4 linked regions of the Anolis sagrei genome follow. The protein of the gene in region 4 interacts with the protein of the main gene of each other region in a pairwise test. Links are inferred from orthologs where the notes say so. Each region holds a gene or a part of one and is shown on either strand. Other genes may lie near its edges.

The links.
Region 1: the proteins of ZGPAT (region 4) and AMOTL2 interact in binary tests that used the Homo sapiens proteins (3 or more experiments, as listed by UniProt). The two-hybrid records come from large-scale screens. The link is inferred for Anolis sagrei from reciprocal best matches to the Homo sapiens genes ZGPAT and AMOTL2.
Region 2: the proteins of ZGPAT (region 4) and CDCA7L interact in binary tests that used the Homo sapiens proteins (3 or more experiments, as listed by UniProt). The two-hybrid records come from large-scale screens. The link is inferred for Anolis sagrei from reciprocal best matches to the Homo sapiens genes ZGPAT and CDCA7L.
Region 3: the proteins of ZGPAT (region 4) and MIPOL1 interact in binary tests that used the Homo sapiens proteins (3 or more experiments, as listed by UniProt). The two-hybrid records come from large-scale screens. The link is inferred for Anolis sagrei from reciprocal best matches to the Homo sapiens genes ZGPAT and MIPOL1.

Annotation. Positions count from the first base shown.
Region 1 is NC_090023.1:225,788,496-225,797,055, forward strand, and holds the start of AMOTL2 (angiomotin-like protein 2), read left to right. Parts: upstream 1-5,057; 5' UTR 5,058-5,310; intron 5,311-8,560. UniProt on the Homo sapiens protein: Regulates the translocation of phosphorylated SRC to peripheral cell-matrix adhesion sites. Required for proper architecture of actin filaments.
Region 2 is NC_090026.1:93,623,101-93,631,131, reverse strand, and holds the start of CDCA7L (cell division cycle-associated 7-like protein), read right to left. Parts: upstream 3,444-8,031; 5' UTR 3,331-3,443; intron 1-3,330. UniProt on the Homo sapiens protein: Plays a role in transcriptional regulation as a repressor that inhibits monoamine oxidase A (MAOA) activity and gene expression by binding to the promoter.
Region 3 is NC_090021.1:302,548,662-302,556,333, reverse strand, and holds the start of MIPOL1 (mirror-image polydactyly gene 1 protein), read right to left. Parts: upstream 3,604-7,672; 5' UTR 3,473-3,603; intron 1-3,472.
Region 4 is NC_090024.1:238,898,077-238,906,312, reverse strand, and holds the start of ZGPAT (zinc finger CCCH-type with G patch domain-containing protein), read left to right. Parts: upstream 1-4,735; 5' UTR 4,736-4,827; intron 4,828-8,236. UniProt on the Homo sapiens protein: Transcription repressor that specifically binds the 5'-GGAG[GA]A[GA]A-3' consensus sequence. Represses transcription by recruiting the chromatin multiprotein complex NuRD to target promoters.

The sequences.
Region 1 (8,560 bases), on a different chromosome or scaffold from region 4:
TCAACCCACTTGTCATGCCACCTCCACTGGCTGTCAGTCTGCTGTCAAGCACAATTCAAAGTGTTGGCTTTAGTCTACAAAGCCCTAAATGGTTCTGGCTCAGCTTACCTGTGGCCCAGTCTTCTGTGTGCCCAGGGGGTAAGTCTCTCATTTGGTATCAGCCATTGGTTGAGGTTCTGGGTTTGAGCCTGCCACTTTTGGACTCTCGCTTGCTGAGGTGTTCCAGTGAGTGTCTCTGTAGATCTTAGAAAACTATTTCTTGATTTAAGTCATTGATGTGCTGGCTGATACCCAAACAAGGGATGAGCTGGAGATGTCACTGCTTCTGGAGTAAGAGAATCAACCGTCTACGAAGATGTTGCCCAGGGGACACCTGGATGTCTTGCAATCCTGCAAGGAGGCTTCTCGGAAGGCGCTGAACAGACTGCGCTCTGGCACCACGAGATGCAGAGCCAATCTTAAGAAATGGGGCTACAAAGTGGAATCCACGACATGCGAGCATGGAGAAGAGCAAACCACTTACCACCTGCTGCAATGCAACCTGAGCCCTGCTACATGCAGAATGGAGGACCTTCTTGCAGCAACACCAGAGGCACTCCAAGTGGCCAGATACTGGTCAAAGGACATTTAATCAACTACCAAGCTTGCAAATTTTGTGTTTTGTATGTTTGTTTGTTTGTTTTGTTCTGTTAGAAATGTAATACAATTGTCTGGTTGCCCCTGACACGATAAATAAATAAACTTATCTGTCCTAACGTATCTCCCCCTATGAACCATCTCGGAAATTAAGATCATCTGGGAGGCCCTGCTCATGGTCCCGACTCCTTCACAGGTGTGATTGGTGGGAACAAGAGACAGGGCCTTCTCAGTGGTAGCCCTTCGGCTATGGAACTCCCCCCCCCCCCCAGTGACATTAGATCAGCCCCCTCCCGCCTAGCCTTCAGAAGAAAGGTAAAAACTTGGCCGTGGGATCAGGCCTTCAGAGAATAGTGCACTGCAATTAACAGATTTGGAATATATGGAATGACTGTGGAACACCTTAGACTACAACTATGGATGGTGTGATTTTAATATGGAATTGAATGTTTTAAAATGTTTAATATGTTTTAAGTTTAATCTAATTTAATTTTAATTTTTTTGAATTGTCAAGGCCCAAGGCCACTGGGAGCAGGAGAGGAGGCAGGACATGAGAGGAGCCTCCCACAAGGATGTTTTAAAAAATCAAAAAAAATCTGGGTGTCCCTTGTGCAACATCCTTGAAGACAGTCAATTCTCTCATACCAGAAATGACTTGCAGATTCTCAAGTCGTTCCTTACACACACCCAAATCATATTTACAGGAGCTCCCGGTGGCGCAGTGGGTTAAATCCTTGTTCCGGCAGGACTGATGACTTGAAGATTGAGTTGCTGACCTGCAGGTTGCCGGTTCGAATCCAACCCGGGGAGGGAGCGGATGAGCTCCCTCTGTCAGCTCCAGCTCCCCATGCAGGGACATGAGAGAAGCCTCCCAAAAGGATGGTAAAACATCAAAACATCCGGGCCTCCCCTGGACAACATCCTTGAAGACAGCCAATCCTCTCACACCAGAAGTGATTTGCAGTTTCTCAAGTCGCCCTGACACTCACACACAAAAACAGGGTCTTATTTGATGTGTAAGATAAAGATATTAAGACTATTTCCAAGACTTTTGTCATTTCTTGTTACATTGGTGTGATATATTGGTGTCCCGAAAAATTTGGAAAACTCTGCTCTACCCAATAACTGTGTAAACTGGCCAGGTTGTCCGAATGCCCAATCACCTTCTCCCAAAGCAGTTACTCTATTCCGAACTCAAGAATGGAAAATGAAATGGCCCTTGAGCGATCTAACCACAATTGCTGCACAATTTGAAAAGGCACAAATGGGAGGCAAAAGGGAGAAACGTGCCAAGAGAAAGGCACGTCAAGCCTACCCTGACCAGAACCTCCTTCGGTCTGGAAACCGATGTCCTCACTGCAGGAGAACATGCGGATCAAGAATAGGGCTCCACAGACACCTATGGACCCACCACCAAGACACATCTGGAAAACCATCATCCTAAAGCTAAGAAAGATCGCCTAAGTAATTATAATTATATTATATATATTATATTATTTATTATAATTATTATTGTTGTTGTTTTATTTATACTTTGTTTATTTATATTTATATTTTACTAGCTGTACCCGGCACACGTTGCGGTACTCAACCTTCCCTCCCTCTTTCTCTTCTTTCTTTCTCTCCTTCCCTCCCTCTTTCTTTCCTTCCCTCTTTTTCTTTACCTTCTTATTTCTTCCTTTTCTAACTGTTTCTTTTCTCGCTTCCTTTGCTCTTTGGTTCCATCCTTCCTGGTCTCTTTCCTTCCTTCTTTCCCTCCCTCTTTCTTTCTTTTGTTCCTTCTCTCCTTCCTCCCCCTTTCACTTTTTTATTTCCTTCTCTCCTTCCTTCCTTCTCTACCTTTCTCTTTCCTTCTCTCCTTCTCTCCCTCTTTCTCTCCCTCCTGCTCTCCTTCCTTCCTTCTCTATCCTTCTTTCTTTCCTTCTTTCTCTCCTTCCCTTCTTTCCTTCCTTCCCCCTTTCTGTGTATGTATTTTGTGTGTGTATATGCATATGTGTGTATATATGTGTGTCTGTGTATATATATAAGTGGTTTTGCACATGTAATGTATTTGGGGGGTGGCTTTTTAAGTCCCTTCTGCTGTGTTTCTCAGTGTTTTTATGAGTGATGGTCACTTGTTCGTCTGTTAGGGGTGTAGTGTCCAAATTTGGTGTCAATTCGTCCAGTGGTTTTTGAGTTCTGTTAATCCCACAAACAAATATTACATTTTTATTTATATAGACTAACCATCCCCTGCCACACGTTTCTGTGGCCCAGTTTGGTGATCTGGAAAATAAGTGTTGGTTTCTAATATATGTAATTTCTTTATGTTTCTGGGTAAACAGCATTTCTTGTTGTTTCTTTGTCAGTGTTGATGTAGAGATTATCTGGTTTGCCTACTCTGGAACATGCAACATATTATTGTCCTTTAGGGGGTCCCTTTCAAATCTATGATACTATATCTCTCTGTGTGTGAATCATATCTATTTCTATCTATGGCTGGATGGCTCTTTGCCCTGGTGAAGAGAGTTGAACTGGATGGCCTTAAGTATTTTCTGTTGGTCATGGGGGTTCTGTGTGGGAAGTTTAGCCCAATTCTATTGCTGGTGGGATTCAGAATGCTCCTTGATTGTAGATGAACTATAAATCCTAGTAACTACAACTCCCAAATGTCAAGGTCTATTTCCCCCAAACTCAGTCTGTGTTCATATTTGGGCATATGGAATATTTGTGCCAAGCTGGGTCCAGATCCATCATTGTTTGAGTCCACAGTGCTCTCTGGATATAGGTGAATTATAACTCCCAAACTCAAAGTCAATGCCCACTAAAACCTTCTAGTGTTTCTGTTGGTCATGAGAGTCTTGTGTGCCATGTTTGGTTCAATTCCATAATTGGTGGAGTTCAAAATGCTCTTGGATTGTAGGTGAACTATAAATCCCAGCAACTACAACTCCCAAATGACAAAATCATTTTTTTTAGTGAAGGACATACATTGGATTGTTAGGTGTCTTGTGTCCAAATTTGGAGTTAATTCCCTCAGTGGTTTTTGAGTTCTGTTAATCCCACAAACGAACATTACATTTTTATTTATATAGACTAGCCGCCCCCTGCCATGCGTTGCTGTGGCCCACATGGAGGTTCTGTGTGGGAGGTTTGGCCCAATTCTATCGTTGGTGGGGTTCAGAATGCTCTTTGATTGTAGGTGAACTATAAATCCCAGCAACTACCACTCCCAAATGTCAAGATTCTATTTTCCCCAAACTCTACCAGTGTTCACATTTGGGCATATCAAGTATTTGTGTAGAGTTTGGTCCAGATCCATCATTGTTTGAGCGATCTCTGGATGTAGGTGAACTACAACTCCAAAACCAAAGGACACTGCCCACGAAACCGTTCCAGTATTTTCTGTTGGTCATGGGAATTCTGTGTGTCAAGTTTGGTTCAAATCGTTGGTGGGGTTCAGAATGCTCTGTGATTGTAGGTGAACTATAAATCCCAGCAACTCCCAAATGACAAAATCATTTTTTGAGTGAAGGACATACATTGGGTTGTTAAGTGTCTTGTGTCCAAATTTGGTGTCAATTGGCCCACTGGTTTTTGAGTTCTGTTAATCCCACAAACGAACATTACATTTTTATTTATATAGACTAGCCACCCCGTCACGCGTTGCTGTGGCCCAGTCTGTGCACATGTGTTTTGTGTGTGTATATATGTGTGTATATATTTGTGTATGTGGTTTTGCACATGCATTGTAATGTAATGTTTATTATTTAGCTTTTTAAGTCCCTTCTGCAGTGTTTTTCAGTGTTTTTATGAGTGATGGTCACTGGTTGGTTTGATATGTGTCTTGTGTCCAAATTTGGTGTCAATTCGTCCAGTGGTTTTTGAGTTCTGTTAATCCCACAAACGAACATTACATTTTTATTTATCTATAAGATTATTATATTTATATTTATGGTTACCTTGTAACCCTACTTTCCAGATAACCCTCGCACATTACCAAGCCTTTTGTCATTTCTTGTTACATTGGCCTGATACATCTACGTGTCCCGAAAAGTGTGGAAAGCTCTGCTGTACCCAATAGCTGTGTAGAAGCAGGAATGCCCACAACGGGGGTTTTAAGAGTGGGGTCTCTCTCGAAAGCGGGTCCCAGGCGAGTGGGGCGAGGGCAGGGGAGCGTGGCGAGCGGGGAGGCGTCTTGGCGACCTTGCCGCGCGCCTCCTGCCGGGCTGTGGGCCTGGGCAAGGTCATGCTTTGCAGCGAGCTGCCTGCTTTTGATCCCGGGGGAAACCTGAAAACTCTCGCATTCCTGGCATAGCAGCGCCGGGCGCCGCCTCTCGCGCAACCCAGCCTCCCTGGCTCTCCTTGCAGCTGGAGGAGGAGGAGGAGGAGGAAAGAGGGAGGGAGGGAGGGACACCATTGAAAGTCGCCTTCCTTCCAGCAGGGGGGAAAAGGAGGAGGGAGAGGAGGCAGGCAAGCTGGTCACATTCACACACACAGAGAGAGGCAACCTCGCATTCACCAAGGCGCACTGCTCAAGGAGCGCACGCACGCACAGCACTCTCCGCCCGGGCTTTGTGGCAACTGGTCGTCCTCTCCCCCGCAAACCAGAGGAAAAGCACCGAGTTTGCGCTTTTGGGAGGCCCGGGACTACGTTGGGAGAAGGCAAGGCTGTGCTGCTGCTAGTATGGTCCGGTGAGTATTCCCCTCACAGCGGAGCCTTCATTCATGTCTTCCCAAAATGTGTGTGTATGCGCCCATTCTTCCCCAGCTTATTGCAGCCTTTGCAGTTCTTGGAGGGCTCACTCAACCCAAGAAACTCGCAATGTGGTGCCTTCTTTAAAAGCGAATCGTATCGTCAGTGGTTGTCGAAGGCTTTCATGGCCAGAATCGCCGGGTTGTTGTGAGATTCCTGGGCTGTCTGGCCATGTTCCAGAAGCATTCTCTCCTGACGTTTCGCCTTCATCGATGGCAGGCATCCTCAGAGGTTGTGAGGCCTCACAACCTCTGAGGATGTCTGCCATCGACGCAGGCGAAACGTCAGGAGAGAATGCTTCTGGAACATGGCCAGACATCTTAGGAAATTCATATAACAACTCTACAATGGTTGGGTTGTTGTAGGTTTTTTGGGCCATATGGCCATGCTCTGGAAGCCTTCTCTCCTGACGTTTCGCCTGCATCTATGGCAGGCATGCTATGGTTCATAGGCTGAGTAAATCCATGTCTTCTTGAAGCCTGGGTGTTATGCACTCTTCAGCAGTCCTGATTATTCTTTGGAGGCTAAATACATCTGTGTCTTTTGGGGTCGAAATGTCTTGCACTCTTTAACAGTTCATACTAGCCTTGATTCTTTGAAGGCGAAGGCAAAGCATATCTATTGGAGTCAGAATGTGATGCCCCCTTTAAGAGCCAAGAGGGATGATTCTTTGGGAGCAAAAAGTCAGATCTGCACTGAATTTATGATATGGATTGACACTGACCACATTATTTATTGAGTTGTTTATTTATATCCCGCTTTATCTCTCAAAGTGGCTCACAATCCAAAATATTGCAACTTAAAATATACAAATATACAATAGTAAAACAGTATATCATTATTTATTATTATCATATCAGTAGTACTATATTTAATGTATTAGTATTATATGACAATATTGTTACTATATACTACTATATTGCATCATGTATTATTAGTATATTGTGTTGCATTAAAATATAATATGTATCTATTTCATATATTAGTATTATTTTACAATATTATTACTCCATATTATATTGCATTACAATATTATTATATGTATATGTATATATATATATATATTAGTATTCTTATATTACACTATTATTACTATATATTACTATATTATTAGTATTATATTGCTTTACAGTATTATTATATGTATATATATTAGTATTATTATATTACTATATTATTACTCTATATTACTATGTTTTATTAGTATTATATTGTATTGCATTACAATATTTTAATGTCATATGTATATATTAGTATTATATTGCAATGTTATTACTATATATTACTATATTGTATTAATATTGTATTGCATTATAATAATATTATTACTATATATTACTATTACTATATTGTATTATTAGTATTATATTGTGTTACATTCTAATATTATTAATATTATATGTATATATAATATATTATATTATTAGCATATAACAATATTAGTAATATATATATATATATATATAATATTATTAACTTGTACTATACCACTATATTGCAATATTATTACTAATATTAGGAATAATGTGTTGTTTGGCAGTGCAGGTCCAGCCATAGTCAAGCCATGCCTGAGGTCAAAATGTTATGTACTCATTGAGAAGCAATAGTAGCCTTTAGTGATTCTTGGAAGGCCAAGTCACGCCATGGTGAAGTGGGATGGTTGCACTCTTGGTTTTCGGGAGAGGTTTCTTCAATCCCTTTGGCTGGCTCTGGTTCTTGCCCGCTTTCTTTGACTGGGTTGTTCTTGAGAAAGTTGGGCAAGCAAGGCCTCAATGTACAGCTGGAGTGAGCGAGGGTTGCTTTGAACTCCTTCCTGTGCCATTCTTTGCTTAATTCAATGTGCTTGTTTGGAGGTGTCGGTTGTTGAGTTGGGGGTTCAGTTGTGAGTATGCATCCATCTATACATTGTGCAAGCATGCTTTGTGGTTATCTGGAGATATGTCTAGTTTTGGCTTTTGTCTCTTCCCGGCTGCTGCTGCTTCTCATAGCTGCGCGAGCCCTGGCTTCTCACTTCGCAGGAATGTTAATTGCAATCCAAACCCGGATGATGTCAGCGCAGAGCTATGTGGAAAACAAAGAGCGGCGGCTGCAAGCGAGAAGTAGGCAAGCAGGCAGGCGGGCAGCAGGCGGCAAGGCAGAGGGACCAGGCGGAGGGCTCTCCTGCTCTCTTGCCTTGGGCTTAGAAAGACTGCTTTGGGAAAGTCAGCTGGAAAGAGGAGAAGGAGGGATGCTTCCCTTGGCAGCCATTGTAACTAAGGGTGCCTCTGCACCAGCCATGGGCAAACTTTGGTCCTCCAGGTGTTTTGGACTTCAACTCAATGAAGTTCAACAGGGACAAATGAAAGATACAGAATGGGAATGCCTGGCTGTACAGCAGTCCATGTGGAAAAGATCTGTTGCACCATGAGCCAACAACATGGTGCAACAGCTAAGAAAGCCCATGAGATTTTGGCCTGCATAAATCAGAACATAAATCATGCCACCCTTCTGTTCTGCCTTGCTCAGACCACACCTGGAATTACACTGTGTCCAATTCTGGGCACCACACTTGAAGGGAGATGTTGGTATGTGTCCAGAGGAGGGCGAGTCTGGAAAACAAGCCCTATGAGGAGCAGCTTAAAGAGCTGGGCATGTTTAGCCTGCAGAAGAGAAGGCTGAGAGGAGGCATGATGAGGGCCATGTATGTAAGGGAAAGTCATAGGGAGGCAGGAGCAAGCTTGCTTTCTGCTGCCATGGAGACTAGGACGCGGAACAATGGCTTCAAACTACAAGAAAGGAGATTCCACTTGAACATCAGGAAGAACATCCAAATTGTGGGAGCTGTTCAGCAGTGGAACTCTCTAACCCGGAGTGTGGTGGAGGCTCCATCTTTGGAGGCTTTTAAACAGAGGCTGGATGGTCATCTGTCATGGATGCTTTGAATGTGATTTTCCTGCTTCTTGGCAGGGGGTTGGACTGGATGGCCCATGAGGTCTCTTCCAACTTAATGATTCCATGATTCTATTAACTCCCACAATTCCTAACCGCTTCAGGCCCTTTCCTTTCCTCAGGTTAAGCAGCTGAGGGGGAAAAGGAAGGGCTTGGGGCTGTTAGGAATTGTGGGAGTTGAAGTCCAAAACACCTGGAAGATCGAAGTTTGCCCATGCCTGATCTACACTGTTGCATTCATGCCACTTGAGACTACTTGTA
Region 2 (8,031 bases), on a different chromosome or scaffold from region 4:
ACTACAGATGTTGTGTATAACATAAGCAGTACATTAGTATAAAAACAGTATCAGATAATTTATAAAAGCAACCACTATTAACACATCAAATAAAATAAAAACACAGTTTAAAGCACAGACCATCTGTAGTTAAAACTAGCTGCCTTCAAATCACAAATGAAATGCCAAAATGTCAACTTCATATGGGCCCATTTCAGCCTACTCAAGGTCAACGATCTGCTTAAAAATCCATGTTTTTAGGCCCAATGCAATGGATTCCTGGGAGTTGGGCGGAGAAAGTTAAAGCTTGTAAAACTACAACTCCCATGTTATAATTCCCTAGCTTTGAGCCACAGCAGTTGAAGTAGTGTCAAACTGTAATAATTCTATAATGTACAAGGACCCTTAGAAACGCAAGATCACAGATAAGAGCAGAAATACAATACCAATACCGTTCTTATTTTAATGTCAGATCTCTTCTAAGGTTCCCAGTGTTAGTATTTTGCACCAAAGTTACTGAAGAGTCTTGAGAATATCTTAAATGTCAGCTATGTTGCATTCCATAGAAATCTGTAAAGTGCCACAAGACTCTTCTGAATAGGCAGTCCCCAAGTTGCAAACCAGGTAGGTTCTGTAGGTTTGCTCTTAAGTTGAATTTGTATGTAAGTCAAAACAGGTACATTTTTAAGTGTTTTCAATTTTTGAAAAAAAAATGGCTTGTTGTGGAATCAAGGATTGGTGATACAAGCTTCAGTGGAGACCATTTCCCCATAAAAACCTTTTCAGGAATGAATTTCCCTTCCAAGGGGTAGATTTCTCACTTCCTGCCTGGGGGGAATCCTTTGTTGGGAGGTGATTAGCTGGCCCTGATTGTTTCTTGTCTGGAATTCCCATTTTGGCAGGAAGTAGCCAGGCTTTGAAGCTGCAAGGCTTCAAACTGCATCAACTGCAACATTCACACTTGCCTCAAACAGACAAAGAGTTCTTTCTCCCACCCTGGACATTATTCCACGGATATATAAACATCACTTGCCTAGTCTCCAACAAATCTCACAACCTGAGGATGCCTGCCATAGATGTGGGTGAAACATCAGGAGAGAATGCTTCTGGAACATGGCAATGCAGCCCAGAAAACTCACTGCAGCCCAAAAACAAAAAGACAGGGAGGCCTCAAACACAGAGGAGGCCGGGCTTCTTTCACTCTTAAACAACTGCAATCTTACTTTTGCAAGGAATTCTCTGCCAGAACTGCCCTCTGGAAAATCATTTCGAAAGCACATTCTTTTGTTTGTTTCTTTGTTGGCCCCACCTCCTGAAGTCTAAAATCTCTCGAGCTTTCCCTAGAAGCTAGTGATAGTTTCCTTGGTTCAGGACTAAATAAATACCCTGAAGGCACCAGATCCTGTCTGATCCTGGATGCTAAGCAGGGTCAGTCCTGGATAGTACTTGGATGGGAAACCACCAATGAATGCCATAAGCAACATTTATTTATTTACAACATTTATATACCACCCTTCTCACCCCAAAGGGCTTACAAGTTATATGTACAAACAATATATTATATTATTACCATAGCACAATAGTAGTATTACATATTACTATATTGTACTATACACCTACTGTCATATTATTAGTAACACTACATGTAATATAGCATATATAGTTATTATTAGTATTAAATTGTATTACAATATTATGATCAATATTATATGTACATAAAATATAATTATTAGCATAGTAAAATATTAGTAATATATATTACTATATTTTACTATACCACTGTACTGTCATATTATTAATACTACATATAATACTACATATATTATATTATAGTATTACTAGTATTATATTGTATTACAATATTATGATCTACTGTCGAAGGCTTTCATGGTCGGAATCACTGGGTTGTTGTAGGTTTTTTCGGGCTATATCGCCATGTTCTAGAGTCATTTCTCTTGACGTTTCGCCTGCATCTACCTCTGAGGATGCTTGCCATAGATGCAGGCAAAACATCAGGAGAAATGCCTCTAGAATATGGCGATATAGCCCAAAAAAACCTACAACAACCCAATATTATGATCAATATTATATGTAGATACAATATATTATAATTATTAGCATAGCACAATATTAGTATGTGTAATATAAAATATATTATTATATTATATTGTAGTATTACTAGTATGATATTGTATTACATTATGATCAGTATTATATGTACATACAATATATTATTATTAGCACAGCACAATATTAGTATTATATATGAGGGACTTAGACCGGTTTCCAACCATAATATACATACAGTCAATAAAACATCACACTTCATATTGCAATAAAACATTAAAACATTAGAACAGCAAAACAGCAATTACATTCAATAAATACAATGGTCAGTCGTCCCACTAAATTCGATGTTCATCATCCTCCATCCATATCTCAGGGTATTGGCTCACTCATCGAATGCCTGTCTCCATAACCACATCTTCACCTTCTTCCTGAATGTCAGGATAGAAGGGGCGGTTCTGATCTCCGGTGGGAGAGAGTTCCAGAGTCGAGGGGCCACCACTGAGAAGGCCCTGTCCCTCGTCCCCACCAGATGCGCTTGCGAGGCCGGTGGGACCGAGAGCAGGGCCTCTCCAGACGATCTTAGTAATCTTGATGGTTCATAGGGGAGAATACGTTCGGAGAGGTAAACAGGGCCGGAGTCGTTTAGGGCTTTATAGGTTAACACATATAAGTTCAAATAAATAAATAAATAAATATTGCACAATACCACTCTACTACAATATTAATACTACATATAATATAAAACACATTATTATATTATTATATTGTATTATTACTAGTATTATATTGTATTATAATATTATATCAATATTGTTTGAACATACAATATATTATAATTATTAGCATAGCACAATATTAGTATTCTATATTATTATATTCTACTATACTGCAATATTATTAGTGATATTACATGTAATATATAATATATAATTATATTTCAGAGGAATATTATTGTCACTTTGCAATAGGCCTAAGGACCCTAAAGGCACCAGATCCCAGTCTGATGCTGGGTGCTAAGCAGGGTCAGCCCTGGTTAGGGCTTGGAGGGGAGCCCACCAAGGCTACATTTCAGAGGAGAGCACTGCCAAACCCGCCTCTGAGCCTCCCTCGCCTAAGAAAGACCCAAGGCAAGGCAAGGCGCCTTCCCTCCAAACAGCTTTTGTGCCAAATCCAAATCACCCAACTTTTTCCAACAAGAAGAAACTTTTTTGTCCCTATGGCAGAAAGCCCTCCTTGGCCTTCCTGGACCCCAAACCCCGGAAAAGCCCGGATCAAGCCCACCTTTGCCTTCTTTTCCGCGCAAACCGCGTGATCCCAAATTCAAACGAGCGCTTCCTTGCCGCCGGACGCGGAGAGCGTGGCGAGAGGGGGCGGAAGAGGCGGAGAAGCAGGAGGAGCCCCGGCCGGAGCGCGCATGCGTCACTCCGAGTGCGCAGGCCAAGGCGAGCAAGCGGGCCGGTCCAGCGCCACCTTCAGGCGGCGAGAGGAAAGGCAACGCAAGGGAAAGTCCTGCAAAAGGGATAGTGGATTGTCGAAGGCTTTCATGACCGGAATCACTGGGTTGTTGTTGGTTTTTCTGGGCTATATGGCCATGTTCTGGAGGCATTTTCTCCTGACGTTTTGCCTGCATCTATGCCAAGCATCCTCAGAGGTAGTGAGGGCTGTTGGAAATAGGAAAATGGGTTTATATATCTGTGGAATGACCAAGGTGGGACAAAGGACTTCTGATTGCTGCAGCTAAGTGTGAATGTTTCAACTGACCACCTTGATTGCTGATTGACAGCAAAACAACAGAGAGTAAACAATCAGGCACATCAAATCACTCCCAACGAAAGATTCCCCCCAGGCACTTCCAAGCCATTAAATGCTAATCTAGGTGGTCAGTTGAAACATTCACATCTAGCTCCCTCCAGGGTTCCCGACGCCCAGGTTGAGAAACACTGGTGTAAATAAATAATCAAATACAGCTGCAAGTCCCAGCAATCCTGGGTACCATTGCCAGTGGTAAGGAATTGTTGGTAGCTACAGTCTGGCATCATCTGCAGAACTTCATGATTTCCTCCATTCTTTCTTAGGGTTAAAGGGTTGTGCACAAATATTAACACTGAGTCATTTCAATAACGAGGAGCTCCCAATGGCGCGATGGGTTAAACCCCTGTGCTGACAGGACTGAAGTCTGACAGGTCGCAGGTTCAAATCCGGGGAGAGCGCGGATGAGCTCCCTCTATCAGCTCCAGCTCCTCATGCGGAGACATGAGGGAAGCCTCCCACAAGGATGGTCAAAACATTCGGGCGTCCCCTGGGCAACGTTCTTGCAGGTAGCTACAGTCTGGCATCATCTGCAGAACTTGCAGGTGGCCAATTCTCTCACACCAGAAGCAACTTGCAGTTTCTCAAGTTACTCCTAACACAACAACAAAAATCAATAACGGTTTGCATTGCAACACCATAAAGTTGAAACATACAGGTGTGATTTACGGTAAGCTTTGTTGGAAAAAACAAAAGAGAAAAGCAATAATGGTGGTAAGCAAATTCTCAGAAGTTCCTTGTGAAATAAGAGCCTTTTGTGTTCTCAAGGTGCCTTTCTGTTGGTGCTTGTCCTGCTCTTTAACATTATGGTGGAGCCATTCAATGCAGCTAAATAGCTGTCCATGAGCATGAACCAAATGATTGTGATAGAATGCCCTGTGATAAATTAAATGGAATTATAATACAAATGTGCAAGACATGAGCACTGTCAAATTCCCTTAAGAAATGTATAAAACCCAGGGCTGTTTTATATGCTTTGCCACTCCCTCTTCTTTGCTGCGGTCTGTCTTCTTTCAAAACTTTATACTTTTGTACAGTAATTCCTTTATTTTTAATATGCGATCATTCTTTCTCTGGTGTTTCCTTTTTTAATGTATGCTGCTTAGAATGCCTTTCTTTTGCCTTTATGTAACAGAGAAGCAGACTTTTTCATTTTATTGGAATTAATTTAACTGTAACCGCCCCAGCTGTATCACAAACACCTCTCCATTTACTGCCATGGATTTCCCATGCATTTACTGAATTTCTGCAACTGACAAAAATCCTCTTTTGAATTACTTCAAAGTCTTTTTTCCCAATGCTTTGGTTGTCTTTGTGTTATTATTACCTTCTCAAAAGGCTCTTATCAGCATTTCAGACATAACGTTACAGCTAGACCTTAGGTGCTCTTCATCGGCAACTTGAAACCTGACATTGGTTATATTTTATAACTATTGGTTCTGGAGTAGCCTTTGACTTTGCTCATCATCCTATGAGAGTATTTCTGATGATTGCTCAGCCCCTCCCTTTGAATTTCAACCAGGCAGTGAAATTCATAACCATAATTCTGCTTGAGACTTATGATACACCCTATAATTGGGCTGAAGCACTTTTGAACTGCTGTTTTCTGAGCAGAATAAATGTCTACATGAAGACACTATTAGCAGATATGAAAGCAGACCAAATCTGTCCATTGTAGGAAAATATAATTGTAGCATAAGGGCACTCTCTGGGAGTAAATGTGCTTCATTGAATAAGTACTATGCATACTGCTTTCCTAGTAATTTTTAACACTATATCAGAAATATTAAACTAAAGCTCAGCTCATTTTTTTTTAAAAATTGGGACCTTAACTGAATTGGGGGTCCACTGTAATAATAAGATTTTTAATCTCAGCTTCCTGCCATTACATTTTCCTCAATCTGTCAAACATTTTAAGTAGCCAGCACTTTCCCACAGTTCTCAATGAGTACTGACATACCTACCTTAAAAGGATTACTTGCTGCTGAGAAGAACTGTAATCCTCTTTTTTCTGCTCTCCAAATCCTCTCGTAAGTTTTTTTTAAAAGAAAAAAACCACGATTGAATCTTTTTTGCAATGCAGTATAATCATCATCTTATAAGATATAGTTGCATTAAATTTAAATTAATCTTAAATTTTACTTATACCTTCACCTGTCTTGAAGCAGCAACTATTCACTTTCCATCTTTGGTCCTTTGTTTTCTCAGCCTTTAATATTTTAACGGCCATATGATTTGCAATCACACTTCTCATCAATTGTTCGGGTTTGTTTTATCTCAAGGTTTACAGACAGCTCATTATGTGTGAGATTTTTTTTTAATTTTCATAAAAGCATGTTTCTAGAATGCATTATGAGATCTTCATGTATCCACAACTGTGAAATTGAAAATACACCAAAACTGTCCACATGGTTGGCACAGATAGTGACACCTTTGATATATGATGGTTCAGTGCACACAAACTTTGTTTCATGCACAAATATTTTTAAAATATTGTATAAAATTACATTCAGGCTATGGGCATAAGACAGAGGCGGCCCTAAGTAATTTTCAACGGTAAGCAAACAGTATTTTGATGCCCCCCCCCCCAACCAATCAGTGATATATATTTTCTGTTTGTTGTGGGAGTTCTGTGTGCCATATTTGGTTCAATTCCATCATTGGTGGAGTTCAGAATGCTCTTTGATTGTAGGTGAACTATACATCCCAGTAACTACAACTCGCATATGTCAAGGTCTATTTTCCCCCAAGAGCGCCTCAAGAATGCCCCTGGGCAAAATCAACTATACTGCAAATGCTTACTTTGCGTAATGGGTTGAGCCGCCCTAGTATAAGATATATTTTTCTGAACGAAGCACAGAGTGTTTGAGGACCAGGACATCCATAGAGATACCAAGGTGCTTGTTTGTTCCACCATACTGCTAATAGTGATTTCAGTTGTGGTCCTTGTAGTTATAATAATCTTAATGCAAATTCTGGTTTAGAAACTTTGTTGAATTTGACAATTATCTGCCCTACTGCTTTTTAGGCAGATCATATTTCACATTCACAATATGTCCCTCATACCATTTATTGCCTCAGTGTGTAGATTTCAGGTGAGCATTATTACAACATTCATCCACATTTTCAGGACATGTGAGTATATGAAGAATTATTTGTTATCAAACATATGAACAGAATCCACTTATAGAATCCATCATTCCTATTCCAGTTAGGTTGTGTTTCCCCTCTGCTTCACTTTATCTGATTGACCTGGCCACATTCATTCAAGTTGCTATTAAATATGCAGGAAGGGTGTCTTGATTTATTAATGAGACAAATATGTATCATGCTGTCTTCATATATAAATTATTTGCACAGGATATCAATTTCACCGCTAGTTTTGTCTGTGTCTTCTGAAATCAATTTACATATCCTCGAGTTATTTAACAGGATTTTTATCTTTACTCTGTCTGACATTTGTGGTTAATTTTTCATACACAAACTGACACCACAAATTGAAATGCCCTATGCTTCCTAGTGAATGCCTTGTGCATTCAGTTATATATATATGTGAAAGACAGGATTGCCATGGGAAAGTGTAAGTTGCAACAGGTCTCCAACTACAACATGCTTCCGACTGAACAGAATGTCATTGTTCTCCTTTATCGTTTATTGTACCATAGAGGAAGAAAAGCAGGCATAATATTGGGCACCATGCCAATTTCCTTTATCATTACATAAAGCAAAGGTTTAATTTGTTTATAATGGAGTGCAGAAGTTTGTGTACTCTGAATTGTCAGCAGAGATGTCACTTTTGCAATCACCCATGTGAGTAGTTTTGGATTTTTGAGTATTTCCTATTTTGGAATTCTGGAAAAGGGATGCTAAACTGGAAGAAAAAAATCCACAATGAAACCATGGCCCCATCTGCACAGACCATTTAATGCACTTTCAAACTGGCATTGAAGAAAATAGAAAATCCTGGAACCAGTTTGAGGCCCCGATGGTGATTACAGAAACCACAGAATACTAGGGGCAGGCCTGTAGCGGGGGGGGGGGGGGGGTAGGGGTTCAACCTCCCCCCCCCCCCCGAAATGTTTCAGAGTTTTTTTTTAAAAAAAACTGGTTTACTCATGAATTTTAACTGGTTAAACTAATCCCCATGCTAAGTCTATGAGATGCAAAAAATTA
Region 3 (7,672 bases), on a different chromosome or scaffold from region 4:
AAATGCACTTTGTGAGAAGCTTTCAGTCTTTTTCCAGTTCAAAATTATTTTGTTTATTTATGTATGGCTTACCTGACCTTCTATAGTGTGCATGCACCCGAAGCAGTAGGCGATCATAATCCATTAGATAAAACTCCTTTCCTTCAATATTTCTTCACACATAAACACTTTTAACATGCTATTAATAAACAGGTCTCTCTATATAATGCATCCTCTCTTACTCTCTCTCTCTCATCTCCTTCAGAACATTGCCTGTCCTCCTTCTGCCAGGAATTCTGGGAGTTGAAGTCCCAAACAACCAGAGGGCCATACGTTTGATACCACTGCATAATATCTTCCACACTGACTTTCTCAAGCAATCACTACCTGTATGCAAATTTACTTCATTTATGGACAATTCATTCTATACCTGCCACTGAAATCCATATAACCATATTATATTAATGGAACACAATATAGGATCACTAACTATCATGACAATTTATGTAATATCACAGGGAACATTCTGTGCACAGGTTTCTCACTTTTTCTGCTCGTTGTGAGTAGTAGTACTGGGGTTCCATCTACACTAGCCATTTAATGCAGTTTGAAGCTAAGTTCAAAATGTGGCGACCAAATAATAAACTCTCACAAAAGAAAGAAAGCCCTCAATGCACCCCAGTGCTCTGTTATTTGGGTAATTATCATCTGACCCTCAAACTGGTTCCATGGTATCATTTGCACAGCAGAAGAGCATTCTTAAATGCTATTTTGAAACTGCATTAAATGGTCAGTGTAGATAGGGCCACAGAATGCAAATCCTGGGATATCTGAAAAGGTCCAGCAGCACTGAATGTTATGATTATATCCCAAAGCCAGCAGTGACAAAGATCGATAGACTGGGTCTCGGCTAAAGTTTTTTTTAAAAAAAACAGTGTCACCCTAAAACTTATTTTTAGGGGAGCTAAGAGAGAAACACAATCTTTCTCTCTCTTATTCATAGATTTACATATACTCACAACAAAACTTGGCTTATTTACAAAGTAATTCAGAAGGAGGCATGGAAAAGAGAAAAGTCAAATATCTTACTTTAGTTTGGTAGTCACAAATATTATTATTAGATTTGAAATTTCCAACCTTTTATCACTCAGTCCTATATGGTAATGTACTTTAGCTGTACTGTACCCTGCCTTCAGGAGAGGTGGCCACAAATAAATAATAAAAATATTTAAGAGACCAGAAGTCAGAACCAATGAGGTTGTGACAACTTAGTAGCATGTTTGTCTTATATGTTAAAAAAATAAAGGCTACTGGCAGATCTTTTGTCTGCTATCCCTTTCTATTTCTCTTGCACTATAATAATAATGGGCCTCCTGGTAGCACAGCGGGTTAAACCGCTGAGCTGCTGAACTTGCTGACTGAAAGGTTGGAAGTTTGAATCCAGGGAGCAGGGTAGGCTCTCGCTGTTAGGCCCAGCTTTTGTCAACCTAGCAGTTCGAGAACATGCAAATGTGAGTAGATCAATAGGTACCACTTCTGCAGGAAGGTAACGATGCTCCAGGCAGTCATGCCGGCCGTGGAGGTGTCTACGGACAACACTGGCTCTTTGGCTTAGAAATGGAGATGAGCACCACCTCCCAGTAATAATACAATAATATTAAAAAAGACTAGAAGTCAGAACCAATTTAATAGTAATATTTAAAAAGACTAGGAGTCAGAACCAATTAGGTTGTGACAACTTAGTAGCATGTTTGTCCTATATGTTATAAAAATAAAGGATTCTGGCAGATCTTCTGTCTTCCATCCTTTTCCATTTGTCTTGCACTATAATAATAATGCCCCCCCCCCACTGGTGCAGCGGGTTACACCTCTGAGCTGCTGATCTTGCTGACCGAAAGGTTGGCAAATCAAATTCGGGGAGCAGGGTGAGCTCCCGTTGTTAGGCCCACTTTCTCCCAACCTAGCAGTTTGAAAACATGCAAAGTGAGTAGATCAATGGGAACCACTTTTGCGGGAAGGTAACAGTGCTCCATGTAGTCATACTAGCTACATGGCCTTGGAGGTGTCTATGGACAGTGCTGGCTCTTCGGCTTAGAAATGGAGATGAGCACCACCCCCCAGAGTCGGGCATGACTGGACTTAATGTCAGGGGAAACTTTTACCTTTACTACTACTACTAATAATAATAATAATAATATACTATAATATAATAATAAAACTTTATTTATAACCTGTCCTATCTCCCGGGGGAGGGGATCCTCAGGGCAATTTCCCAAAAAGGATGGAAAACATTTAATACCACAATAAACAATAGAAACAAAACAAATCAAACCAAACAGTAAACAAACACATAAATACAAACTTATAGTAACTGGCCACCATACATATCTATTTGACAGTTTGCCCCACTAAATTTAATAGTTTACTTTCATATTAGCGTGCATAGGATTACAACCTTCCCTGTTTTCAGGAGGCCTTGCTTTTGATCCTCTTCTCTAAATCTGATCAGAGTTAATGCCTACCACCTGGAAATGTTTTGCAATTGCACTCTATATTCAAATTCAAAACAGCACAAAAAGAAAAGTCAAAAGAGGAATATACTGGGGTTGCAACTCATAAGAATATAACATTATATCAATGCTGTTAAGAGCACCAGCACCTTTTGGTAGTGGGGTCCAGAGGTGACCAATGGACTCTGCTTTGGAATGTCGTGCCTCCTCCCTAGCAATGTTTTCCTTGAGTGCATCTCCACTGTAGAATTAACACAGTTTGACACCACATGGCTCTGTGTTACAGAATTCTGGGTTTGTGGTCATCCTTTGGTAGAGAAGACTAATGGCCTTGTAGGATTACAACTCTAAGGATTCCATAGCCTTGAGTTATGGAATTGAGTTAAAATAGTATCAAAATGCATTCATTCAACAGTTAATCTCAAAGGTGCCCTAATACATGGAAGGCAGTGCAAGCGGGAACACCTTTTATTATCCTCTTCTGATGCTTCCCAAACCCCTCCACAGTCCCCAAACACTCAGCTTACACTGTAGAACAGGCATGGGCAAACTTCGCCCCTCCAGTTGTTTTGGACTACAACTCCCACAATTCCTAACAGCCTCAGGCCCTTTCTTTTTGCCCCTCATCTGCTTAGCCAAAGTTTGCCCATGCCTGTTGTAGAATGAATGCAGTTTGGCACTACTTTGAACCGTCATGGGTCAAAGCTAAGGAGCCCTGGGAGTTGTAGTTTTGCCAAGGCACCAGGGGAGGCTGAAGCCCTTGCACAACTACAGATTCCATAGCATTGAGCCATGGCCCTTGACTTGGTATCAAACTGCATTCATTCTACCAGAGGAGAGGAAATCAGAGATTGCCCTGGTAATGAATGCTTAAGAGGGAACTTCCTAGCCACTCCGTGCGCATGCGTGTTGCAGTTCTTTTCCCCCTCCTCCTACCCCTCCCAAAAGGAATTCCGTCCCGTTAGAAAGGCGGCTGCAGTTACCTATTTGCCTCGCGCAGTCGGCCGGGTTGCGCGCGTGAGGCGAAGGAAGCGGCACCGCTGGGCTCGCGACCCCCAAAGGGCTAGGGCGACTGAGCTTCATTCATTTGTAGACTCGCCTCTACGCTGTCCACTTCCGGCGCCCTTGCGACACCTCCCCTCTCCCCCGAGGGAAAGGCTGGGTGGAGACACTCCTCATTCGAGAACCCACGGGTGCCTCTCTACACTATAGCATTAATGCAGTTTGACACCACTTTAACTGCCATGGGTCAATGCTATGAAACCACAGAAGTTGTAGTTTTAAAAGTTATCTTGCCTTCTCTGCTGGAGCCTTCTCAAGCCACAACGCCCAGGATCCCATAGCATTGAGACCTGGCAGTTAAAGTGGTGTCAAACTGCATTAATTCAGACTGTGTAGATCAGTGCTTCTCAACCTTGGGTCCCCAGATGTTTTTGGCCTACAACTCCCAGAAATCCAAGCTAGTTTACCAGCTGTTAGGATTTCTGGGAATTGTAGGCCAAAAACATCTGGGGACCCCAGGTTGGGAACCACTGGTGTAGATGCATCTTCTGTGTGGGTTGCATGTTAGGCCAAGGGTGCAGTTACACTGTAGAGTTAATATAAAATATAAAATTATAACAGTAAACAAAGAACAAAACTCCAGACAAGAAACAAACAGGAACACCTAATCACCTCTCAACAAAGGATTTTCCCAGGCAGTAACAAGTTACACCTAAAAACCGTCAGGCCATCAAATGCTAATCAAGGTGGCCAATTGAAACAATTACACCTAGCTCCAACAGACAAGAGTTCTTTCTCCCACACTGGACTTTCCACAGATATATAAACCCAATTGTTCTAGTTTCCAACAGACCTCACAACTTTTGAGGATGCCTGCCACAGTTGTAGGCGAAACGTCAGGAGAGAATGCTTCTAGAACATGGCCATACAGCCCGAAAAACCTACCACAACCCAGTGATTCTGGCCACGAAAGCCTTTCAACAATACAGAGTTAATATAGTTTGACATGCAACTGGGATTCAGTTTGGGCTTGTGGTTGATGTAGTTCATCCCATTGTTTATACGGGAAACTCTCAACCAGAACTCAAGCAACCTACAAAAGCAAAGAAATAATACATTAAAATTAAACCAATTTTAGTAGAAATGGAAGTTTAAATTAAGTTTGTCTTTATTTGCTTTCAACTACTGTATTTCAATATTAATATCAATACAAAATTTCTGGTATGAAGTATACTATACTAGGCCCATTTTTAATAGTAGCTCTCAAGCAACCAGAAACTACACCTATCCGGTATCTACATAGCCCCATGGGTGCCAGTTAACTGAGAGTCTACTGCATTGCAGATTGGGCTCATCTCCACTTCTCAGTATTACCATTGCCTGGTTGGCTATCATAATATTTGAGTATTCTTTATTGTGTTCATATTAGAAAACTCTTTTTAATGTTTCCATATAAATTCCCTTTTCCCTTTATATATTTACAGCTTCCTCTAGTTTCTAAGATGAGTCTAGGCCCGGTCATTGCTGAAAGGCTGGCTTTCTCAAGGGTCATCTTATAGGTATACCTTGGGACGAAATGAATAAGCAACCCGGAAGCTCAACGGCTCTTGGTGCTCTACTATTTCCACACTCTGTGCTCATTCTGGCACAACAAACATTCACGCAGGAGGCGTGACCAACAGGCTTGGAACTGTCATCCAGTCGCTGGCCCTAGATGTCAATCAAACGATGGAGGCGGGACAGAAGAACCTCATTGGTGGGCGAAGACTGAGTGTTGTTTGGGAGTGTTCGAAAAGGGGGGAGGAGTTTGATTAACTCATAGAAGTTAGGAGGAAGAGGTGGTGCATAGTAAAGGGGATTAACTCCTTATGTTGTCGAAGACTTTCATGGCCAGAATCACTGGGTTGCTGTGAGTTTTCTGGGTTGTATGGCCATGTTCCAGAAGCATTCTCTCCTGACGTTTCGCCTGCATAGGTGCAGGCGAAACGTCAGGAGAGAATGCTTCTGGAACATGGCCATACAGCCCAGAAAACTCACAGCAACCCAGTGAGGTCACAAGCTCTGAGAAGTCAGTGTCTCTGAGACTTCACAACTTCTGAGGATGCCTGCCATAGGTGCAGGCGAAACGTCAGGAGAGAATGCTTCTGGAACATGGCCATGCAGCCCGGAAAACTCACAGCAACCCATTAACTCTTTAATCAGCTTGAAAATCCAAGGTACGTCTCCACTGGAGCATTTATGGAGTTTGAGACCACTTTAGCTCCCAAGGCTCAATATTAAAGAATCCTGAGAGTTATAGTTTTACAAGGTCTATGAGTACTGGTCTTTGCCAAACTACAACTTTCCACAGGATTGTGCCATGGCAGTTAGAAGTAGTGCCAAACTGTATCCCTGCTACAGTGCAGATGCAACCCTAGCTGGCATCTACTTAAACTAGGCGGAAGAGAGGGAAAAAAACTTTTGAAAACTCATTTCATATCCATCCCATTGAAACCTGCTCTTTATAATGGTAGGGCCATATCTACGCCCTTTCTCTAATTATAAGTTGACTATCCATTATTTGAAATGCTTGGGAACAGAATTAGTTCATAGTTTGGATTTTTGGGGATTTTGGAATACAGTACTTGCATATACAGAATAAGATATGTGGATGAGACTTGTGGCTAAACACGAAATTCATTCATGTGCCATATAACTATGCAAATAGCTTTAAGGTAATTTTATACACCATATCAATAATTTTGTATGTGAGACTATTTGTGTACCCTATACCATCAGAGCAAAAATCCATGGACTATTTCAGAATTTGAAATTCTGCATAATGGATGCTCAACCCAAAATTGATTGCCATACAGAGCAACCCGAAGCCTCGCTGTTAAGTCATTCACCACAATTGTGTTGTTGCTTGAGTGTTGGATTGGGGTTTGAAGTCCTGTTTGGCCATGGAAGCATACTGAGTGGCTTTGGGAAAGTCACTCTCTCTCAGCTTTGGAGGGAAGTACGGGCAAATACTCCTTGGATCAAATTCTGCCAAGGAAACCCCAATATGGTTCACCATGAATCAGAAATGACTTGAAGGCCCAAAATTATGTAAAGGATTTGATTTCGGTAGCCCCTTGCTTTCCTCTGAGGTTGAGAGAGTGTGACTTCTCTGAATTCATTTGCAGTGGTTCTCAACCTGTGGGTCCTCAGATGTTTTGGCCTCCAACTCCCAGAAATCCCAGGCCATTTACCACCAGTTAGGATTTCTGGGAGTTGAAGGCCAAAACATCTGGGCACCACTGGGCACTGATTTAGTGGGTTTTGGGGGCCAATTAGACTGAGAGGGGAAAAAAAACATTGGAGGAAGGAGCACCAACAATATTCAAGTGACACCAAAATACCAAGACATTGAATGATTACTGAATAGTCAAGGTAGAAAGTGCAGAAGCGGGTTTACAGTTGAACGTTAAGAAAACAAAATATAATGACCATGAATGATTTACATAACTTTAAAGTAGACATTGAAAAAGTTAAAGATTTCCCGTACTTGGTTCAATCATTAATCAGAGTTGAGATTGTGGTCAAAAAATCCGAAAATGACAAAGGTTTGGAAGGGCAGTTTTGAAAAAACTAGACAAGATTCTAAAGTGTTGAGATATATCATGAATGCTAAAGTTAGAATGGTCCATGTCGTTGTATGCCCCGTTTCTATGTATGGTTGTGAAAGCTGGACAGCAAAACAAAACAAAACCCCAAAACAAAACAACAACAAAAGCAAATTGGAAGAAAATCAACTTATTTGAGGTGAAGTGCTGGAAAAGAGTTCTGCAGACACTGTAGACTGCCAAGATGATTAAATGGAGACTGTTGTACTTTGGACATATAAGAAGAAAATGTAACACGGTGATAATGTAACACGGTTTTTGTTCCTGGGTTATAAATGTCATTTCCCACTTGGTTCTATCATAAAAACATGGGGAAAGCTTATTAAACTGCAAAAACTTTGCGGGACATCCTGCAGCATGTTTTGCTGTAACTTTCAATGAATATCTAATAGTCTCAGCCAATTCAACATAGTTTATGGCAGCCACAAAAACAAAGCTTCTAGAGTATAACAACTACTTTCAAACTACTGCACAATTAAACAGGAAATAACACTTTCAAACCAGAAACAGAAAAGAAATCAATTTTATTACATA
Region 4 (8,236 bases):
AAGCTCCAACTAGTCCAACACTCGGCAGCCATGATTTTAACAGGAGCGGAGCGCAGGGAGCATACAACCCCCCTGTTGCGCCAACTCCACTGGCAACTGATCTGCTACCGGGCTGAATTCAAAGTGCTGGCGTTGGCCTTTAAAGCCCTAAACGGTTCCGGCCCAAGCTACCTATCTGACTGCATCTCTGCCTATGAACCCACCAGGACTTTGAGATCTTCCGGGGAGACCCTGCTCTCGATCCCGCCTGCTTCTCAAGCTCGGCTGGCGGGGACGAGAGATAGGGCCTTCTCGGTGGTGGCTCCTCGGCTGTGGAACGCCCTTCCTACAGACATTAGACTAGCACCATCTCTAATGGTATTCCGCAAAAAGGTGAAGACCTGGATGTATGTGCAGGCGTTTGAGTAATTTAGTGCAATCTGGTAATGGAACATAGGAATGGAACAATGGACAACGAACCTGGACTACGCTTGGATGATGAGAAGATTGGGTACGGTTGTTTTTTGTAATAATTGTGCATTGTAATTGCTTATTGGTAATTTATGGATAATGTGTTAAGTCAATTGTTATATGTTGTATGGAACCACTGCTGTTTCTACTGTTTTTACTGTTTGTGAACCGCTGTGAGTCGCCTTCGGGCTTGAGATACAGCGGTATATAAGCAAAGTAAATAAATAAATAAATAAATATATCCAAGCCTTCTCCCAAAATAAGATCCCAACACACTTTACTCACAACTGCCATTCAAACTTGAGTGAAAACAGAAACCTTAACTAATGTAGTTGTTTCCAGATTAAGATGGAAACTAGTATTTAATGTAGCCTAGCTGCTTGTAAACAGAAGGTGGATGGAGAGCAGAGGGGGAGCCTGCATACCATAAATACTGATAGAGAATTGTTAATTAACTACTGTATATACTCAAGTATAAGCATAGTTTTTCAGCCCCTTTTTCAGCCTGAAAAAGCTTCCCTCGGCTTATATTCGAGTCAAGATTATTTATTATCTTACTCTATTATTAGTATGATTTTTATTACATTTATTAATTTACTCTATTATTATTACTACTATTTTATTACGTTTATTATTTTTCTCTATTTATTATTATTATTATTACATTTATTATTTTCTCTATTTGTTATTATTATTACACTTATTATTTTACTCTATTATTGTTTTGATTACATTTATTACATTTATTTATTTATTTACTGTATTTGTATACCGCCTTTCTCAGCCCATAGGCGACTCAAGGCAGTTAACAGGGTAAAATTCAATGCTTACAATATCATAAATACAATTAGAAGCATAACATATAATAAAAATTAACATATCAATAACATATAAATTTATAGTGTATCCTTGTTAAAAACATTGTCCGGTCTCATTGTTGCCATTTATTATTTTATTCTTACATTTATTATTTTACTTTATTATTATTGTTATTATTATGATACATTTAGATTATTCTACTCTGTTTTTTTAAAATATTGGTAGCCAGATTTTGTTCATTTTCATGGTTTCTTCCTTTCTGTTGAAATTGTCTACATCCTTGTGGATTTCAATGGCTTCTCTGTGTAGTCTGACATGGTGGTTGTGAGAGTGGTCCAGCATTTCTGTGTTCTCAAATAATATGCTGTGTCCAGGTTGGTTCATCAGGTGCTCTGCTATGGCTGACTACACAGAGAAGCCATTGAAATCCACAAGAAGCATGTGGACAATTTCAACAGAAAGGAGGAAACCATGAAAATGAACAAAATCTGGCTACCGGTATTAAAAAAAACTCTAAAATTACAACAGCAAAACAACAGAGCCAGACTACTAACGGGAGCGGGGTACAGGGAGCATACTACTCCTCTGTTGCGCCAGCTCCACTGGCTGCCAGTCAGCTTCCGAGCACAATTCAAAGTGCTGGTCTTAACCTATAAAGCCCTAAACGACTCCAGCCCAATTTACCTGTCCAAACGTATCCTCCCCTAGGAGCCACCAAGATTGCTAAGATCGTCTGGAGGGGCCCTGCTCTCAATCCCACCGGCCTCACAGGCGCGGCTGGTGGGGACGAGAGACAGGGCCTTCTCGGTGGTGGCCCCTCGACTCTGGAACTCCCTTCCACTGGAGATCAGAACTGACCCTTCTATCTTAACGTTCAGGAAACAGGTGAAAACTTGGCTTTGGGGATTGGCATTCGACGAATGAGCCATGATCCTGTGATATGGATGGATGACGACGAATAATGACTTTTGATGACGACTGACCCCTGTAATTATATGATTGTATTTTGCTATTTTAATGTTTTAGTGTGATTTAGAAAATGATGTTTTAATGACTGTCTGTAATATTGATGTTGGAAACTGGCCTGAGTCCGTCGAACAGAGGTGAGAAGACCGGTATACAAAACTGCTAAATAAATAATAAATAAATAATAATCACCTCTCAACAAAAGATTGCCCCAGGCACTGCCAGGCCATCAAATGCTAATCAAGGTGGTCAGTTGAAACATTCACACCTAGCTCCAACAGACAAGAGTCCTTTGTCCCCACCCTGGTCATTCCACAGATATATAAACCCATTTTCCTAGTTCCAACTACCTCTGAGGATGCTTGCCATAGATGCAGGCGAAACGTCAGGAGAGAATGCCTCTAGAACATGGCAACCTATTATTATTGTAATTTATCTATTATTATTATTATAATAGTGCAGAGTGCACCTTTTATGAGATTCACCTCACAGCAAAACCTTATACTTTTAACTTTATTTTTATAAATTATACTAGCTGTCCCTTGCCACGTGTTGCTGTGGCCCAGTCTGGAGATCTGGAAAATAAAGTAATGAGAAAGTGTTGGTTTCTAATATATGTAATTCCTTGATGCTTGTGAGTAAACAGTATTTCTTGTTGTTTCTTTGTCAGTGTTGATGGGGAGAGTGTCTGGTTTGCCTACTCTGGAATATGCAACATATCATAGTCCTTCTTTAAGGGTCTCTTTCAAATCTGTGATACTATATCTGTGTGTGTGAGAGAGAGAATCATATCTATCTATGTATATTTATGTCTGGATGGCTCTTTGTCAGGAGGGCTCTGATTACATTTTCTTGCCCTGGTGAAGAGAGTTGGACTGGATGGCCTTAAGTAATTTCTGTTGGTCATGGGGGTTCTGTGTGGGAAGATTGCCCCATTTCTGTTGTTTGTGGGTTTCAGAATGCTCCTTAATTGTAGTGAACTATAAATCCCAGTAACTGCAAATCCCAAATGTCAAGGTCTATTTCCTCCAAACTCCATCTGTGTGCATATTTAGGCATATGGAATTTTTGCGTCAAGTTTGGTCCAGATCCATCATTGTTTGAGTCCACAGTGCTCTCTGGATGTAGGTGAACTACAACTCCCAAACTCAAGGTCAATGCCCACCAAACCCTTCCAGTGTGTTTTGTTGGTCATGGAAGTCCTGCATGCCATGTTTGGTTCAATTCTATCATTGGTGGAGTTCAGAATGCTCTTTGATTATAGGTGAACTATAAATCCCAGTAAGTACAAATCCTAAATGTCAAGGTCTATTTCCCACAAACTCCATCTGTGTTCATATTTGGGCATATTGCATATTCGTGCCAGGTTTGATCCAGATCCATCATTGTTTGAGTCCACAGTGCTCTCTGGATGTAGGTGAACTACAACTCCCAAACTCAAGGTCAATGCCCACCAAACCCTTCCAGTGTGTTGGTCATGGAAGTCCTGTATGCCATGTTTGGTTCAATTGTATCATTGGTGGAGTTCATAATGCTCTTTGATTGTAGGTGAACTATAAATCCCAACAAGTACAACTCCCAAATGTCAAGGTCTATTTTCCCCAAACTCCATCTGTGTTTATATCTGGGCAGATTGAGTATTTGTGCCAGGTTTGGTCCAGGTCCATCACTGTTTGAGTCCACAGTGCTCTCTAGATGTAGGTGAACTACAACTCCCAAACTCAACATCAATGCCCATCAAACCTTTCTAGTGTTGTCTGTTGGTCAGGGGAGTCCTGTGTGTCAAGTGTGGTTCAATTCCATCATTGATGGAGTTCAGAATGCTCTTTGATTGTAGGTGAATTATAAATCCCAGCAACTACAACTTCCAAATGACAAAACCATAATGTTTTGAGTGATGGTCACTCCTTGTGTAGTGAGACGTTTTGTTGCCAAATTTGGTGTGATTTCGTTCATTGATTCTTTTGTTTTTAAGGTACTCATTATGCACAGAGCATTTTTATATATACAAATAGATATATTGTATTAATTTCCCATAAAATGCAGCTATATTTCCTATTAAAAGAATAACAACACATAAGCACACCAAACAGTTCTCAAGCATCCTCTAATTCTCCCTTCCCTTTTACAAAAATACTTTTAAAACATAAAATATATATTAAATAGAGTAAGAACAGCCCTGAGGCCTTGAAGAAGGAGACAAACTCACCCCAGGCCAAGCTCTCTCAGGCTGCTTCCCCTTTAGAACGCAGAGCATCCCGGGAAATGGAGTCCCCGCCCTGCCCGACGTCCCTTAGGCACGCCTTCCCCTTCGCCTCGAAAGAAACTACCCTTCCCGAAATGCACCGCGCCGCCTTGACGCTTCTCCCCGCTTGGCTCCTTGCGGCCATGAAGAACCACAGAGAGGGAAAGGCTAGAGGGGGCTTTAACGTAATCCAAGATGGCGGCAAACGCTCGGTTAAGGAAGCTTCCTGCTTTGTGGGGACTTGTCTAGCAAAGCGGAAGTGGCCGTGTTTGTGTGCCAGTGGAGGCCGGAAGAGGAGGATGGTGGCTGAGGGATGCTGAGAAAGGAAAAGAGAGAAGTTCTGCTGAGTTGAGTTGCTCTTGGTGGCCTTTGGAGTAATTGATATATCTATTATTAATGCATAATATGTAACATATAACACATATATTTATATTATATATATTATATATTGTAATAATATATACAGTAATAGATATATAATATATTATATATTATATATATAATCTTAGATATATAATATATAATAATATTATCTATATTATTAGATATATTAGACAGTAATAGCTATATAATATTGTATATATTTATATATTACTATATTATATATTATTATAATAATATTATATACAGTAATAAGATATATAATATATATTATATATATAATCTTATATATATAATATATATCTAATAATGTTAAATTTAATTTATCTATATTATTAGATATATTAGACAGTAATAGATATATTATATATATTATATATATATTATATATATAATCATAGATATATAATATCTAATAATATTATATATAATTTTATCTATATTATTAGATATATTAGGCAGTAATAAATATATAATATTATATATATTTATATATTAATATATGTTATATATTATAATAATATTATATACAGTAATAGATATATAATATATTATATATTATATATATTATATATATAATCTTAGATATATAATATATATCTAATAATATTATATATAATTTATCTATATTATTAGATATATTGGACAGTAATAGATATATAATGTTATATATCTATAATCTTAGATATACATAATATATACTTAATAATATTATATATAATTTTATCTATTGTTGTTGTTCATTCGTTCAGTCATCTCCGACTCTTCGTGACCTCATGGACCAGCCCACGCCAGAGCTCCCTGTCGGCCGTCACCACCCCCAGCTCCTTCAAGGTCAGTCCAGTCACTTCAAGGATGCCATCCATCCATCTTGCCCTTGGTCGGCCCCTCTTCCTTTGACCTTCCACTTTCCCCAGCATCATTGTCTTCTCCAAGCTTTCCTGTCTCCTCATGATGTGGCCAAAGGACTTCAACTTTGTCTCTAGTCTCCTTCCCTCCAATGAGCAGCCGGGCTTTATTTCCTGGAGGATGGACTGGTTGGATCTTCTCGCAGTCCAAGGCACTCTCAGCACTTTCCTCCAACACCACAGCTCAAAAGCATCTCTCTTCCTTCGCTCAGCCTTCCCTAAGGTCCAGATCTCACATCCGTAGGTTACTACAGGGAATACCATGGCTTTGACTAGGCGGATCTTTGTTGCCAGTCTGATGTCTCTACTCTTCACTATTTTATCGAGACTGGACATTGCTCTCCTCCCAAGAAGTAAGCGTCTTCTGATTTCCTGGCTACAGTCTGCATCTGCAGTAATCTTTGCACCTAGAAATACAAAGTCTGTCACGGCCTCCACGGTTTCTCCCTCTATTTTCCAGTTGTCAATCATTCTTGTTGCCATAATCTTGGTTTTTTTGATGTTTAGCTGCAACCCGGCTTTTGCGCTTTCTTCTTTCACCTTGATTAGAAGGCTCCTCAGCTCCTCCTCGCTTTCGGCCATCAGAGTGGTGTCATCTGCATATCTGAGGTTGTTAATGTTTCTTCCACCAATTTTCACCCCAGCTTTGCATTCATCCAGCCCCGCACATCACATGATGTGTTCTGCATACAAGTTAAAAAGGTTGGGTGAGAGGATGCAGCCTTGCCGTACGCCTTTCCCAATCTTGAACCAGTCTGTTGTTCCGTGGTCAGTTCTGACTGTTGCTACTTGGTCCTTGTACAGATTCCTCAGGAGAGAGACAAGGTGGCTTGGTATGCCCATCCCACCAAGAACTTGCCACAATTTATTATGATCCACACAGTCAAAGGCTTTAGAATAGTCAATGAAGCAGAAGTAGATGTTTTTCTGAAACTCCCTGCCTTTCTCCATTATCCAGCGGATATTGGCAATCTGGTCTCTCGTTCCTCTGCCTTTTCTAAACCCAGCTTGAACGTCTGGCCACTCTCGCTCCATGTCTGTCTGGAGTCTTCCTTGCAGGATCTTGAGCATTACCTTACTGGCATGAGAAATAAGGGCCACTGACGGAAGTCTCTGATGTCTCTACTCTTTACTATTTTATTGAGATTGAACATTGCTCTCTCCCAAGAAGTAAGCGTCTTCTGATTTCCTGGCCACAGTCTGCATCTGCAGTAATCTTTGCACCTAGAAATGCAAAGTCTGTCACGGCCTCCACCTTCTTCTCCCTCTATTTTCCAGTTGTCAATCATTCTTGTTGCCATAATCTTGGTTTTTTTTTAATGTTTAGCTGCAACCCAGCTTTTGCGCTTTCTTCTTTCACCTTGGTTAGAAGGCTCCCCAGCTCCTCCTCGCTTTCGGCCATCAAAGTGGTGTCATCTGCATATCTGAGGTTGTTAATGTTTCCTCCAGCAATTTTCACCCCAGCCTTGCATTCATCAAGCCCCGCACATCCTCGCATGATGTGTTCTGCATACAAGTTGAAAAGGTTGGGTGAGAGGATGCAGCCTTGCCGTACGCCTTTCCCAATCTTGAACCAGTCTGTTGTTCCGTGGTCAGTTCTGACTGTTGCTACTTGGTCCTTATACAGATTCCTCAGGAGAGAGGGAAGGGGGCTTGGGATGCCCATCCCACCAAGAACTTGCCACAGTTTATTATGATCTACACAGTCAAAGGCTTTAGAACAGTCAATGAAGCTGAAAGAGATGTTTTTCTGAAACTCCCTGCCTTTCTCCATTATCCAGCGGATATTGGCAATCTGGTCTCTCGTTCCTCTGCCTTTTCTAAACCCAGCTTGTACATCTGGCAACTCTCTCTCCATGTATTGCTGGAGTCTTCCTTGCAGGATCTTGAGCATTACCTTACTGGCATGAGAAATAAGGGCCACCGTACGGAAGTTGGAGCAGTCTTTCGCATTTCCCTTTTTTGGTATGGGGATATAAGTTGATTTTTTCCAGTCTGATGGCCATTCTTGTGTTTTCCATATTTGCTGGCATATGGCATGCATCACCTTGACAGCATCATCTTTTAAGATTTTAAACAGTTCAGCTGGGATCCCGTCATCTCCTGCTGCCTTATTGTTAGCAATGCTTCTTAAGGCCCATTCCACCTCACTCAGATATATATTAGATAATATATATCTAATAATATTATATATAATTTTATCTATATTATTAGATATATTAGACAGTAATAGATAGATAATATACATTTATATATATATATATATATATATATATATATATATATATATAACAATAATAATATATACAGTAATATATATAATATGTATCTAATAAAATTATATATAATATTATCTATATTATTAGATATATTAGACAGTAAGAAATATATAATATATATTATATATATAATCTTAGATATATAATATATATCTAATAATATTATATATAATTTTATCTATGCTATT